Oreochromis niloticus: one gene and its partner. The protein of the gene in region 2 interacts with the protein of the main gene of each other region in a pairwise test. Links are inferred from orthologs where the notes say so. Each region holds a gene or a part of one and is shown on either strand. Other genes may lie near its edges.

The links.
Region 1: the proteins of irf9 (region 2) and irf1b interact in a two-hybrid assay, tested with the Homo sapiens proteins (2 studies listed by BioGRID and IntAct). The link is inferred for Oreochromis niloticus from reciprocal best matches to the Homo sapiens genes IRF9 and IRF1.

The regions. Positions count from the first base shown.
Region 1 is NC_031975.2:21,938,350-21,946,543, forward strand, and holds the start of irf1b (interferon regulatory factor 1b), read right to left. Parts: upstream 3,492-8,194; 5' UTR 3,339-3,491; intron 2,730-3,338; 5' UTR 2,724-2,729; coding exon 2,637-2,723; intron 2,157-2,636; coding exon 2,057-2,156; intron 1,959-2,056; coding exon 1,791-1,958; intron 1,648-1,790; coding exon 1,607-1,647; intron 1,387-1,606; coding exon 1,260-1,386; intron 1,162-1,259; coding exon 1,060-1,161; intron 930-1,059; coding exon 901-929; intron 713-900; coding exon 589-712; intron 361-588; coding exon 251-360; 3' UTR 1-250. UniProt on the Homo sapiens protein: Transcriptional regulator which displays a remarkable functional diversity in the regulation of cellular responses.
Region 2 is NC_031974.2:8,878,221-8,886,511, forward strand, and holds the start of irf9 (interferon regulatory factor 9), read right to left. Parts: upstream 3,168-8,291; 5' UTR 3,016-3,167; intron 2,576-3,015; 5' UTR 2,557-2,575; coding exon 2,500-2,556; intron 1,184-2,499; coding exon 1,061-1,183; intron 972-1,060; coding exon 791-971; intron 1-790. Other genes in the region: E3 ubiquitin-protein ligase RNF31, read right to left, coding at 7,678-7,725.

The DNA of each region.
Region 1 (8,194 bases), on a different chromosome or scaffold from region 2:
AGCATGTGAATTCCTTTTACACAGCAGTGCACTTTATAACTTCTGTTCACAACTTCACATATGGGATGAGAGAGATGAGGGTAGCTCTGCAAACTGCTTCCAAACATCAAACACACAGTAGAAGTCCGGATGTTGGGATGCTGTCCTAGCCAAGGGGTGACTTAGCTGGGAGGAAGGCTCTGATGGGAGAAGATTTCAGGAGCTTAAAAGTCCAGTGTAAAAGAATTGTCCTGTCATGTCCTTTACTTTTTTAAAGCAAAAGTGGAATCTGTTGGCAAAAGCTGTTCCAGAATTCATCTGTGGAATTTGGGATGTCTGCAAGAGTTGTGTACTGTGGCCGTGTGTCGTCTACTTCGTCGACTGCAAAACAAAGAGCGAAATCCAAGGTCAGTTAAGCCAACAAAGAATATATTTTGGAGTAATGTGACTTAAAACTGATAGCACTATTCTGATTGCTAATGTAATCTACAACAAAATCTATACATATTTATTGATGTTGACTAAATTCTACTGAATTCTTAAATTGCTGGCATGGACTGTGGTGTTTAAGCAGCAGCTACATGACAGCCTCCAACTAGCAACATTTACCTGATGAAGACTCACTCCACTGGCTCCCTGGACTGGTGCATGGTTCATTGCTCAGGAACCCCCTGTCGTCTAAACTGCTTGTTGTCATCCAGTGTGAAGTTTCTTTCTCCAGTTTTCTGCAAATCTGAAAGAGTAACACTGGATTGAGTATGGCTATATTTGGCCCAACTAGTTTTTCCAACACAAAACATGCTTATTAGTGTTTTGGGTATTATTGCATGAGCCAAACCAAGCAGAATAAGACAAACATGGGTATTCCTGTCAATGAAATATTACTTTCTAGCTAGGGTAAGACCTGTAGCTTATGCTTACCTCAATAATATCTTCTGGATAGTCGTAGTCTGCACGATCACAGCAATGAGAAGGGGAGAGAAACAGAAAGACACATGAGTATTTAAGTTTCTATGTAAGTTTAATTATTCCAAGCTAAGCCAAAGTCTAGCAAGTATGAGCTATGTGTTGTCATCTTACCGGAGCTGTGATCAGGTGAAACCTGAAATCTGTTGACGAAGGAGTCAGGGCCAATCTCGACTGTTGAAGACCATTCAGGAACGTCAGATGGAAAGAAGAAATCTGCAAAAATGGCAAACAAACACATTGAGTACACTTGGACTTTTAGATTCAAATGCAATGTTTATCATTTTCAGTACAGATTTTTCAAACTTGCTCACCTGGCTGGTCTGTCTGCACTGTGCTGTCAACTCTGTTTTCTTGTGTGCTTTCTGGCATCAGTGCAGGGATGGGAGACTGAGTGTCACTGTAGCTGTCTTCCCTCTCTTCCATCTTAACCACTGAACTCTGCAAGAACAAATCAAAGAGAAATTAAGTGGGATGTTTGAAATGAAAATCGAGACATTCAAATCCATATGTGTATGTCTGTTTCCTGCACAGCTACAAAGTAGAATTATTTTAGAAAGCTATACATTCAGTATCTGGATCAGTGTAAATGAGGAATATTTTGAGTATGCTATTTAAAAACAAGTGTCACTAGAGCTATAGTAACAGTGATAGCATTTACCTTCTTCCTTCCCTTTGACTCCCTTGATTTAGTCCGTTTATCTGTGCAGAGGAAAGAAAAACATTATGGTCACTTACTTTCTTCACCACTGAGACTTTAGAGCACATGAATTGAAGATACTGAGCGCCAATGTTAATTTGCAAAGAAAACCCAACAAACGTTCATTTCCTGTCAGTTTTCTCACCTTTAGATTTTTGACTAGCAGGCAGCATCCTGAAGACACGCATAGCTTGGTGGCCTTTGTTAATACTTTTGTCTTTCACCTCCTCGATGTCAGGCAGTGAGTTCATTGCACAGCGAAAGTTGGCTTTCCATGTCTTGGGGTCACAAACTTGGCCCTCCACATATTTCCCTGTAAAATGCATTGGCACATGATAGTTTAGTACACTTTGTCAGCCTGTAAAGAAGAATTGTTCTGAACAGGTGGCAGGCTTATTCAAGTTTGCTCACCTGTGTGTTTGGCCCACTCTTTGAACAGACATGCGTCTTTGTCCACCTCCCAGCCATGTCGAGCTGCATGCTTCCAGGGGATGGAAAACATTGTTTTCTCCTAAGAAATATAAAAAAATCAATATATATTAAGTTGGATTGTGGGTAATTGCGCTTACTGAGAGAATGCAATGTGTTATCTCCCAAGCAGAAACCAAGCTTCCGTTCAGCTACCTCATCGTGGTTATTTTCACCAGTTTGAAGTGCCACAGGCATAGCTGCAAAGTGGCTTTAACTATAGTACGCCTCAAAGTAACACTGCAATACTAAGACCCAGCCCAAGCTAGTGCTTCAAACCAGGTCAATGTTTGTAACACGCAAATACTGTATGCACAGCAAGGGGACAACTCAGTGTCAAAAAAAACATGTGCAGCTTTGCAGAAATAACTTCCCTGTCTCATGGGGAGATGTGTCAATCTTACAACAAATAGATTTCCAAATATCTATTCCTGTACTCTGAATTGTCATTACTTATTTGCAGGCAGTTCCTATTTACATGAACCAGTTCAGCGTATTATAATAGGATAAGAAAGCTTCTCACCTTGTCAATCCAAGCCAGGCCCCAAATTGTATTGGAGTCGATCATCTTCTCCAGCCATGGCCTCATCCTCATTCTTGACACTGGCATGTTTGCCTAAAAAAATCCAGAAGAAAGTGTTTAGAGAAATGCTGTAATGCAGCGTGTGAAGCACAGCGGTAAGAGGAAATAAACTCTCGCATCTCAGCCCCGGCTTAGATTTACTACTGCTTCTTGGCTGCGCGGGACATAAGAGTTCATGGCCAGGGCAATCAGCGCGCACAGGGAGGCGTTTACGTGTAGCAGTCAACTTTAGTTTAGAACGGTTGGAAGGAACAAAAAGTAAAAAAATAACTGAAAATAACTCGTGCAGTTATGCAGTGATTTTATTAATCCTGGAGCGCAAAAGTTTAAAAATCTGAAATGGTAAGCGAATATTCCCCACCTAAAAAAAAGTTTCTTAATTCCTTAGAGCAAAAGAGCGCAACTCAACATAGGCTGAGCAAAAATGTCACAGAATTAAAAATTCGAGTTTGAAATGTGCATAAAAAACCTTTGAAAGTGAGCATTGAATTAAATAACATGCAAATAGATGCAAACACACAGCGTGAGAGAAAGACTCCCACAGTAATAATAGATACTATTTTAAAAAGAAATCATCCCAATAGCATCATTTAGCCTTTAAAAAATACAGCAGCGATGTTAAATTGATATCACTATACTTACAGATTAATTTGCTTTGATTCCAGGAGGAAAAGAATGCAACAATAATCCCGTTGATTTAAGAAAAGCTTCGTCTCGTCTTTAAGTGTTCCACTTGCAAACGTTTTCTGAGTACAAGTGAGTACTGACAGCTTTCTCTGCACACTTATATACTGTAAGCTCAGTAGCGGGTATTCCCCGGCAGGAGGCTTGGTGCTATAAAAAATGTCCTCAGAAGACAAAAGAAGTGAGAGGTGTGTTTATCAAGCCTTTGAAAATGTATTGGTTATTTGACGATAATCTCGTAGTTTCTTACAGTAGCTACTTTATTAATGTCATATCTGCATATTTGCGCATTACCACCCTGTTGTAACTAAAAAAAATACCATTTGAAGGTTTTTTTTATTGAATTGACTGAAAGTCCTCTTATAATAGGACTGACATTTTTTACAGTGTGTTTGGAGCATGCGCTGTGATCCTCTGCTTCAGCAAAAGAACCGTTTCCGAGAAATCACGCTGTTGAGAGCTAGAAGGAAGTTAAAAACAACACGCGTGGAATACAGTTGATTGCTGCACGTAGACTAGATCATCAAACTAAATGACCCAACTCATGTGTCACTCGAGTTTGTTTCCCCACTCCCTCCTTTTTAAGCAATTCACCTTACAGATAGTGCTTTGTGCAAAAAGTGCAAATATTTGCAAATGGCAAATTATATTTTACTCACATTAAGATTTGACATTAAACCGTAACAGCCGACTTGTTATACTATCGCGTCCTGTTATGCACCGCATTACGGTTATACTGATCATAATATCACATTCTTATAATAACGTTGCTTTGGAGGTTGTGCAAAGTTAACATGTCATATCTGCATATTTGCGCATTACCACCCTGTTATAACTAAAAGAAAAATACCATTTGAAGGTTTATTATTGAATTGACTGAAAGGCCTCTTATAACAGGTCTGAGAGCGCGTGCATTCATTTCCAAAGCACACGCGCACGCTTTCGTCTTCCACAAGCCAAAAGTCTTCCCCCACAGTCTGGCATGACAAACATGTGCATGGGACCAACCCTTTAGTATAAACAGCGATCTGCCTGAGAAGTCAGGCATTTACAAGAAATGGTGTAGTAATTTTCAATGGCCGCTGGGGGCAGTGTGATACCGGCTTGCTGGGTGCATGGATATGGGTCATGCTGAGTGAACTCTTGTACTGTCTTGACAGCGGGAAAAGAGAGTAGCATCGGACGATGCGGAAGCAGCAGCAGCTGTTTATCCGCAAATACAGGACCCGCGGAGCGTTTTTTTCCAGACATCCTGCATGTGTGCGCGCGCGCGCGCGTGTGTGTAGTAATATCATATCAAGCATTTGTGAAATTCGACGTAATGAAACACTGGGCACAAAACTGCGGGGGTGAATAGAAATATGGCGATCATTCATATTGTGTGTCGTAAATATCGACACTCAGTCTCTTAGCTTGATTGCATAAAATACACGCAGAAGGGCATTGTAGTTATAATAGTGTGAGTGCACTTCGAGGGAAATTTGGCAAAGAGTGAATAGAAATGTGATCATTAGTCATAACCTGTATCCTGAATTTCGGCGCTTAAAAATAGCGTAACTGCACCTGATTACACCCCGCAGGTCTTTTTATGTAACGGGGTGAGTTCACTTGGAGGAAAATTGGGAAATCCCACACATCAAGTCTGGCTCAGATAATGTATCTGTCCATTTAGGGGCTTCCCGCGTGGTGTGGCGAGTTCGCGTGCTCGCGCATGCTTGACGTGACGCTCGCCTGCGCGTAGCCGAGAGGGAATTGCAGGGAGTTTTTCCCGCGGAGTTTTCACCGGTAGCGGGGGTCTGTGGGATTTCCCAAACGAATACAAAGATCTGGATTGGAAGAGGGAAAATCATCCCGTTTTTCCCACCGATTCTTCTTCTCTTTTTTTTTAATCGAAGGCTGGCAGCCTTTGTGCCAGTGTGCAAAGAAACGGGTGAATTATAGGAATTCACTGCAGCTGGCATGAAACAAAACCAGCACCAGGATCATTATAGTTTAGTGAAAAGAATCCCTTTGAAAACAAATTTTTTTAAAAAACTGTTACGTTTTTAAAGATCCTCTTTAAAATTGTGCAGTGGTATTATGCAATTGATGTGAACCATTTTTTCTAACCGTATATATTTATGTGTGTGTGTGTGTGTGCGTGTGTGTGCGTTCCTATTTAAAATCCATTATATCCGAAAATACATAACTACAACGTGACAGTTACCTGGTTCATCAACCTAGCCCCTATACCTCACCTTAATTCTGAAACAGGCTTTCAGCGAACACCAGTGACTGATTATAACACTTGACTGTCTCTTTCAAACTGCATCCAGTGTGATTTCACTCCCAACTGACCAAATTCCTCTAAAGTATATTGCACTCTGTGCTTACCCCAGGCTAGTCTAGACATTAAGGTCACCTACATGCAGCAAGAAAATGTAACTTAAGGCTTGAGTCACTAATCTTGCCTTTTGACAGCTTACCTGCACTGGAGCTATTCAAAGCCTTCCTTCAATTTTAGCCACAATGTTAAACTGAGGGTGCAAGTTTTTTTTATATACCTTCAGCTTTTATAATTGTGTTTGTTTCACTGGCAAATCCAGTTTGCTTGTCTTTTGACTGCAGTCAAAAGATTTAACTGTGAAGACTGTTTTGTCTCAGGCGATTGTTTTCTTCTGCTTCTTTTCTCACATGAGTAATCTTCATGTCAAATACTCCCAATAGTCACCTTCCAAAGGACCTGCAGATCACAGTTCTTTTTAGTGGGATAACACCTGCGTACTTTAGTAAGCACCTGCAAATTAAAGTATTATAGGCATATAATAGAAGGCAATCAAAGTGGGGGAGAAAATAAGAAGAAGAAATCTTGCCACAATTTGGTAAGGGAGGATCAGTTTATACCAGCAGACATGAGGAAGCATGTTGGCTTTTCAAGATCTGCCCAAAATTCAGCCCTCGGGTCAGTCACACACAAGTTGGATATCTACTCAAGTTTCACCCAAACAGGCCTCCTGAATCTATTTTACACAGTGGAGCTTTATAGAGTTTAGCACCCCCATCAGGCCAGTCACTGTACTGCTTGAAAGAAACAGGTTACATCATACTTTGCAGCCATTCAACAGTTGAATTGGAATTTCAAATTATAGTTTAGGTATAAAAATAAATCAATGAATAAGAAGTGATGCAAGCAGTACTCAGAGCCTTTGCTCTGTTGGCAATGCAGTGTACTTACAGAGGTGTCCCCAATATTACTGCTTCAAATGTTGTATATTCTGTAAATTCCTAGGAATTCCTATTTTTGACATCAAGTCATCCTAAAATGTTTCAAAATTAATTTGAGGGCTATGAGTCATATGACAGGAAGAAAGAAAAGCTGTCTTTATGCGACACACTGGATTCATTGTTCAGACTTTTCTCTAGTCCTTCCCTTTTTGTGAAATAGTCAAAAGTTTTGCCTTTCAGGGCCTCCAACAGTTACATGAACTAAACATTCTTAAGATTTGTGTTGGGAGGCCACTCTCATGTTGAGCTGATCCAAACTTGATCATTTTCAGAAACATGACAAGGGAGCCCCACTAGACTTTTTTTTGCTGTGTATTATCTATGTAATAATCTTCTAACATAGGTTATATACCACAGGTTTTGAAAGTGGCTGTAAATAAACCATTACTTTAAAATTCTGTACTTAATTCAGCCATCATAGCCAACTCCAGACTGATTTCCAACCAGGGGTGGATCTATAGGGGGGCAAGGGGGGCAACTACCCCCCTGCTGTAGGGCCCCCCCTGGTAAAAACTAATTGTTTTTTATTCAAAAAGCCTCTTATAGCCTTTGTTTTCTTAGAAGAGATACAATAAACAATTTTTTGTTGATATTTTGTTGACTTCATTTACATTTGGGGGATTTTCACACACCGTACTTCACCGAAGAGGTATGTGCCACCCTGCCTAGACCTCTTGCCCTTCTTTGTCCATTGTTTCCAACCTTTAGTTTCCTTTAGTTTCCAAAATCATTTGCTGAGGAACTGATTATTAGAAGAGTTTCACTCAAGATTTAGAGGTTATTATTGCACAGAAACAGCACTAGTGAAGGACGGTAATAATATTCTTATGGTGTCTGACATTGTACTTGTGTCTGTGCTTGTACCGCTAGACCCCAGTGCAGCGTTAAATGCTGATAATTCTGTTTTCTTGATTGTGATAAAGCTCAGGTTAGCCCTAAAAAACATAGAAACGTGTTTTCTACCCAGATGCTTTGTCTGGATGGCATCACCTTGGCCTCCAGCAGCAATGTGAGGAACCTTGGAGCCAATTTTGATCACGATATGTTGTTCAATGTGCAAACAAATATATAGGACTCCCTTCTTTCTTCTTTATTTCTTTCTGAATGGTATTGCCAAAGTTAGAATGTCCTGCCTTAGAGTAATGGTGACAAGTTAGTTCATGCATTCATTATTTCTATTCTGAATTATCCCTCGAAAGCCTTCAGTTAATCCAAAGCATGAATCACAGAGCGTACTGGCAGAAAGGGAGATCATCTGTCTCCCATATTAACTTTTTACCATTGACTCCCTGTAAACTCCAGAATTCAGTCCAGAATTGGGAGGCAGACACCCTGTCTGCTTTTATGAATAAACCTAACTCTTTTATTTTAAAGCTTCTGGTTGGGGCTGAATCAGGTGACCCTGAACTATCCATTAGTTATGTGGCTAAATGCTCAGACTGCTGGGGAACTTCCAGTGATGCACTGAGCAATTCTCCTCTCATCTCTTTTCACTACTCATGTGTTTTTATGCCACCACTGCATGTAATTAAATCTTTTCTTCTCTTCTT
Region 2 (8,291 bases):
CACCAAACCTTCACATTGATTTAGGAGTAGTTTAGGTCTATTCATTTTCATCATCGAGCAGGGATACCAAGAACTTTAACATTCAACATTTTTGCCAGCTTTTCCAGTCTTACTGACCTTCGTTAGCATATATACAAGACTTTTTCACGCTACACTCTCCCTCTCATGCACACTCCCAGCCTGCTTTGTTGCTCAGGCTGTATTGTGTCTTAAACCTACTGAGAGTTTTCAAATATTGTACTTTGTTCCTGGTTTCGTAAAACAAGGCAGCGGTATAATTTATGGTGCTGCTTTGAATTCCCACCACAACGGGTCCTTGTGCGCTGGTGTGCCTGCATTGTTCTGCCATCAGGAGTGAAACCGGGCTGTTCGTGTTAGACTGTGAGCTAATAAATCTTAAACAGCAGTTATTCTTAATGAAATACAGATGTCTTGAGATGGAGGACATCTGAGCCAGTGAAGTGTGAACAACAACTATCAGAGCTCTTACAGAAAAACATCCATGGTTACATTAATGAATTCAGCGTCTTTACACTGCATATTCGGGCCTCGCCTAGGCTTCACATGTATGTTTTTGTAATTGCTGTCACACGTCTGTCCTGCCTCGTGTGCCCTCATGTGACCCACTGGGAAGTTTTAGGTTGACTTAACCACCTTCGTGTGACCGCGAGACTGATTTTGTCATTGAGGTTATCAGGTTTGAGGTAAGTCAAATGCTTTGCTGCTGAGGTATAACTAAGTTGTACTACGACCTAGCCAGAGCGCGCTGAGTAGGTACTTCAAGTCTCACCTTGCTCGCTGATGGGGACCAGGCGGTACACCTTGTATGGTTCTGAGATGTCCAGCTGGGCTCGGTCCATCACCTCCTTAAACTCAGGACTCTTGTTGAGGGCGCAGCGCAGACGGGTCTTCCAAGCGGCCGGGTTGTCCTGGCCCCCGTCTGTCAGCTTCCCCTTGAACTCTGCCCACGCCTGGGGAGAACAGCGATGGCGATCTCAGAGATTTAAAGCAGACTGGATTTGTGGCATTTAAAGCAAATCTTGAGAATTTCAAGAGCTACCTTGAAGATCGCAGCATCTTCGTCTTTGCGGAAGTCCTGTTTCCCCGCATGCTTCCAGGGGATGCGGAACATGGTTTTGGCCTCGTCATCCCACACCAGTCCCGGATATTTCCCACTGCTGACCTGAAACAAACCAAAAAACACGGCAAAGTTTAAGAAGCTTATAGATTTCCTGAATTTCACCTGAACCTGGATACCTGCAGACATAAATCAGGGCTGCTAACCAGCCACCTCTTCTGCATGTCTTTGTAGAAAAAACACTTTTAGATTGACTAATACTGCAGAAAACACAACATCATCCACCTTTAAAGCAAAAATATGCAAACTTTAGTGTTCTGAAATGATCAAATCTGACAATTGTATTGGTTTTTTTGTGTCACGGAATTTGCCCTGTCTCTTCTTCATCACCCTCAATCAGTCACAGCAGATCCTGCCCCTTCTTCAGCCTGGTTCTGGTGGGGGGCTCTTCCTGTTAAAAGGGAGTTTTTTCTTCCCACTGTTGCCAAGTGCTTGCTCAAAAGGAGTTATTTATTTATTTGTCGTTGTCTCTGTACTATTGTGGGGTCTTTACCTTACAATATATCAACCATATATAACCAACATGAGGCGACTGATGTTGTGATTTGGCACTATATAAATAAAATTGAACTGAGCGTTTTTATTACTGGACTCTACTAAAGTAGCTTTGCATCATTAACAGTTCAGAATAATCCTTATTTATCTCATATCAGGCCTTGATGTGCCCCATTAATTCATCCTGTCTGAAACTAGCTGTTTTAGCTCTCTCCAGGCTAACTCTCTCCTGATTTGCTCTCTGTGACCTCATAAAGCTCCAAGAGTGGAAGAAACTGCCTGAAACTGAGTGTTTAGAGCTACAGTGAAGCTTGCACTTGCACTGATCTCACTTATATATGTCAGAAAACAAGAAAAAGCAGAACACATTCACTTAATTGGAGCAATATCTGTTTATTTCTTAACCAACTAATCTAAAAAATATAAACTTGTTGAAAGTGCAGCTGAGCTCAACCTCAGCGGATATCACTTCTACACAATACACAGAATTTTGTGGCCTAAAGTCAAAATCAGTTATTTCCTGATATTCAGTTTATGACTTTAGTTAATAATTCAGGGTTCAAACTGTTTCATAAAAACAAAAAGTTGCAATAACCACCTATAACACATTTATATGATAGTAGAAACAGAAAAGTGCATTTTTCCACAGCTGACCTACAATTTGCTTAAGCAGATTATGCAATTGCAGCTGATTTTCTAACAAGAGAAAAGTTAAACTTTTGCTGGTGTCATTTTCAGCCCCATAGTTATGAATATATGTTTGTTAGTGACCTCTCAATCACCCCTTTCCTCTCCCTGTCCCCCCCCCTCTTTCATTTGTCCTTACCCTCTCACACTTATGCACACACACATACACAGCCACACACCTGTTCGACGATCCAGGAGCGCAGTCTGCGAGTGGAACGCATTCTCCCAGCTGCCATCGCTGCTTCTTTAAAAATGCTGAAAACACCGCAAAGTTTCAAGGCCAGCGGCAAAACATCAACACAAACAACTTCGATCAACTGCCCCGACATGCCCTCCTACACCCACCCCGCCTCACATTTTTAATAATAGCACAGCTTCACTCTGAGCACATCAAAAACATCCAATATTAGACATAAGAAATATGTAAAAATATGAATAAAGGTCGATTTGCTTTCGCGTAAAAAGCCAAGTTCAAGCCTCGTGTTCAAGCCGGGTCTTTAAACAGAGCCGACACACATTAAAAAAGAAAAGAAAGACAAAAACTTTCTAAAATTAGGTCTTTTTTAAATGGAGTCTGGACTGGAAACAACAAAGCAGCTGCAAACATCCTCCCACCGCCGCATGTTATATTTATAAAAAATCAAATATAGACGCTAAGGTGTTAAATTAAGGAAGTTGATTTAAGTTTCGTTTACCTCGGTTGTGTTTCCTCCGCGGTGCCTGCGGACTGACTGCCTTCTCCTCTTCAGCTCTGCGGCTCAGTCTGTGAAGGCGCTCCTTTTCCCCGAAGTCACGTGGTTTTAGAGAAACCCTCCGCAGGTCTGACACCAGGGGGCGAAAGTGAGCACACACAGAGACACAGGGTCCTGAGTATGTGCACAGAGGAGACAGTGGAGATGTGACTGAAGTGCAGACTTTCACCTTTCATTCAAGGGGATGGGAAAAAGTATTCCATTATCTGTTTAAGAATGACATTCAAAGGCTCTAAAGTAATTGGACAATAAGTGAGAAGCAGTTTCATGGCCAGGTAAGGCCTTGTTCCTCATTATTGCATGACAAATAAAGCAGATATATGAGCTGGAAATGAACTAACCAGCCAGGAACACCTGTTCAACTGCTTTGTAACGCAAATATCCAATCAGCCAATCACGTGGCAGCAGCTCAGTGCATTTGGGCATGTAGACACAGCCAAGACAACCTGCTGAAGTTCAAACCAAGCATCAGATCAATAAAGAAAGGTGATTTAAGTGACTTTGAATGTGGCATGATTGTTAGTGTATTGGGCGGGGGGGGGTAATCTGAGTATTTCAGAAACTGCTCATCTGATGGGATTTTATAACATAACCATCTCTAGTGCTTACAGATAATGGTCCAAAGAAGGGAAAATATCCAGTGAGCAGCAGTTATCTGGATGAAAATGTTTATGACCTAAGTAACATACCATGTCACAAATGTCAGATCATCTCAAGCTGGTTTCTTGTACATGACAATAAGTTCACTCTACCCAGTGACCTCCACATGCACCAGACCTCAGTCCATTAGAGCAGTGGTCCCCAACCCCCGGGCCTCGGACCGGTACCGGTCCGTGAATCGTTTGGTACCGGGCCACGAGAGTTGAGGCTCAGGTGTGAAATTTGTGTTTTTCAGGGTTTTTATCGGTTTTCAGCGTTATTTTGTTATCGTTTTTATCGTTAACTCGGTTTTCCTGGGTCTTTTCACGTGTGTTATGAATAAATCTTCTTTTTTTCGGTACCGGTACTAGTTTTATTTTGTTGTATTTATCCGCGACACCTTAAAGGCCGGTCCATGAAAATATTGTCGGGCATAAACCGGTCCGTGACGCAAAAAAGGTTGGGGACCGCTGCATTAGAGCACCTTTGGTATGTGGTGGAACAGGAGATTCACATCACAGCCACCGAGAAAGCTGCAGCAGCTGTGATGCTATCTTGTAAGGACTAAAGTCTCTGAGGCATGTTTGTTGAATCTACACCATGAAAAATTAGGTATTAGCAAATTACTGGCAAGTTGTACCTAATAAAATGTCCAGTGAGTGTATATTTAGATTGATTTTTGTGTAACTTGTCCAGACAGTCAAACAGTTATACAAGAGGTATACAAGGTTCTTAGATCTTGTTTTAACTTTAGTCACCATAAGCGTAAGTTTCCACCTTGTAATAGGAATATTCTTTCTGGGTCAAAATGATGTGATAATATTCATAAGGCATATGTTTGACATGTTTTTGGCAGATTACAGGCCAATGAGTCATCTTTTGGCAGAGGCAGTGCGATTCCTCAGGAAATGTTCTGCTGGGAATCCTTTGTGTCCTGCCAACAAAGTGAATGTTATTTTGACATTTGCCACCTAGCTAAGCAGTATTTAGGGTCATGTACATCCACAATCATCATGGAAACAGTATTCCCCGATGGCTGTGGTCTCTTTCAGCATTGTAACACACCCTGCTACAAAGCAAAAAATGGTTCAGGAATGGTTTGAGAAGCACAGCAACAAGTTTGAAGTGTTGACTCGACTTCCAAATTTCCCGGATCTCGATCCAATCAGTTATCTATGGGACGTGCTGGACAAACAAGTCCGATCCATGGAGCGAACAGTTGGCAGCAACAGGGGGACCAACACAATATTAAGTAGGTGATCATAATGTTACACCTGATCAATACATATAGATATATCTATATATCTATATATAGATATATATCTATATCTATATATCTATATATAGATATAGATATCTATATATAGATATAGATATCTATATCTATATATAGATATCTATATCTATATATAGATATCTATATCTATATATAGATATCTATATCTATATATAGATATATAGATATAGATATATATCTATATAGATATATATCTATCTATATCTATATCTATATATATATATCTATATATATATATCTATATATATATATCTATATATATATATCTATCTATCTATATATCTATCTATATATCTATCTATATATCTATATATATATCTATATATCTATATATATATCTATATATCTATATATATATATATATATATATATATATATATATATATATATATATATATAGATATATATATATATATACTAACAGCAGAGATAGTATAAACGTTCAATGTTTTTTTGACTGAATGATTCATTTATTCTTTATTCTTGTGCCTTTTTTCCTTATTTTCAGGCACTTTTAATAAGAAAATACCAAATCTCCAAACAATCAATTCACTGTAGTGTGTTTAAATTCAATTAAAGGTTATTTAAACCCTCTGAATGGTTATCCTTATGGGCTACTTAAGATAAAGCATCTGAATCTCACTGATATACAATCACAGAATAATAAGTAACATGAGACGTACTTTACATTTTAAATTTAAAAAATTATTTTTGTGTTAACTTTAAGTCTTAGCTTGGACTTTTTTCTTTGATACAGAATTCATTAAATGTTTTATTTGATAACAGTTTTGCTTTTGCTTACAGGGTTTCTATGTAAGTAACAGTGCTGATGCATTCACGAAACAGAGGAAATCTCGTCTCCTTACACAAGTTTGTATCATTTCTTTAGACTGTAAACTGTAATCTTGTTGTTTACAAATGTAACGTTTAAATTCTCATTAAAAACAACACTTTAAAAGTCACATTTGGCTAAAGTAACTTCAGAAGAATGTATTAATGAAAACACCACAAAATCTGTCAAAACATAACAGACATCAGTAACTCCACTTTCGTTAAAATAATTCTATTTATTGAGATGATGTTCAACCTCATATATCCACCCACTTTTTATAAAGCAGAAAAAACTAGAAACTCTCAGACAAAATGTTAAAGACTGAAAAAAAATTACATTTTGGTTAATAAACATACATTTATTCTGAACTGACTTTTACATTTACATTTTTTTAACTGGATAAATCAAACCGAGTTTATTACATCAAGAGCCAGCTCCACACCACAAATTATTTCCTTTCAAATCTTAAAATTTGTGCATCACTGCTACCTAAAAGGCACAAAACGTGAGGGCAAAAGAAAATCACAAATAAATGATTTTTTAGACCCATTCCAAAGGTTTGTCTCCTTCAAAATAAAACAACAAATTTCAAATACATTTAAAATAAAATAAACATGCTAATTAAAAACAGTCTGAATCTAGAGAGGTGTACTACAAAGAGAGATAAATCAGTTAGTTGGGCATATCGAGCTTTAAGTCAGAGTTTTCACTGCGATGAAGGTGGATCTCTTAAATGAACGTGAACCCTCAAAGTGCTTTTTACTACAAGCCTCATTCACTTCAAGCACACACATTCATACAGCGCTTTTATTCTAACACACACACACACACACACACACACACACACACACACACACACACACACACACACACACACACCTACCTGCTCTACCTTGATGACCACAGGCTCAGTTTAACCTGCTAGATCACCATAACTAATGCTTAAGGCAACCTGGTCCTGTTCTATCAAAGCAGGACTCGGCTTATGGAGTTAACGTCAGGTTTAAACCTTGGTTTCCTTCTTACAGGGCTACATCGCCATGGTAATTTACACTGCAGCTACACCAAAGCACATATGAAATCACCTGAAACAGTGAATCCATTCCCCATGGAGCTCAGCGTTTGTAGTGACAGTCTAAATGATAAGCATCAATCATGAAATGCAGATTTTTAGGAGAAACTTTATTTGTAGCTTTTTTTTTTTTCTCTGTTTCCTGGAGAATTTCTGTATTCAGTCTAAATTAAACAACAAAGCCTGTTAAATTAATGGAATATTTAGCTGTAATCATGTCAGGTCCTCCTGTATCCCAATGATGGAGCATTGCTGATTCTGTTTTCTGTGTTTAAACTGTTCATATTTCTCTAAGATTACAGCTTTAGTTTCCTTTGTATTATCCCCTGCTGTGCTGCCAGTTTTCAGTCTGCGATCGGTCACATGCTACAAACTGTCTGGTTTGATCAATCGAGAAGAAGCTCTCATCTGCTACTGTCACGTTAAAACTGAGATTTTTAGGCAAGGTTAAAAGCTTTCTGCAGCACTCATCTTTGGCTTCATTTTCTTTTAAAATATATCGTTCATCTCTCTCAGTGACCTCCTCTGATTGACGTAAATGGCATTCAATCATTTTGTGAAATAATGCGTTATACACCACCTTTAATGTGAACCCGGATCAGAAAGCTTCCATTAACAGAGAAGGTTGAGAAGCAGCAGTTATGTCTGACTGGGATTTTAAGTTCTGTCAAGCCAGCTAAAGCAAAGAAAGCCTGGCTTTGTTGAGCTTGCTTCATAGTACACTCCTCTGATGAGGATCTGTCTGGAAAAAAGGTCTGGAAGTCTTCATTTGTTTCGAGGAACTTTTTCTCCAAGAGGAACCTCCATCAGTTTCTGTGGGGAGAACAGAAATCAGCTACTTGATCTCAACCAAAGAAAGAGTGATTATTTGTAAAGGTAACTGTGAAGAGTGGCCGTCGAACAGGAGAAGAAAACTATGACTTGCTTTGACAGGCAGTTTCCTTAAATTCATTTCTGCTTTCTTTTTAAGGACAGATGCCGTGTGACTCCCCATGAGCAGATATTTTTAGTTACTTTGTGTCCGTGTTGGAATTTGTTTTGAATTTTTATGAGTCATATTTTTATTGCAGTGTTTTTTTCTTTTACTTGATAAAGCTTATTGTACCTTTGAATTCTATATTTGATCATGTTTTGTTTTTTTTAAATCAACTTTTTCAAGATTTAGTCTTAATATTTTTAGTGGCTCCTAATTTTTTTCACACTGTTAGTTTACTTAAAGACGATTGTAGTGGTTTTAATTGGTTAATCAATATGTTTTAAATACATAAAGTAATGCTGGATGTTTTATTATTGTAGCTGTTTTTAATTTTTCTTGTTTTTTTTTTATTTTACTGTGATGTTTTGTAGTTTTAATCAATTTTAATTTTTTAAAATTTGAT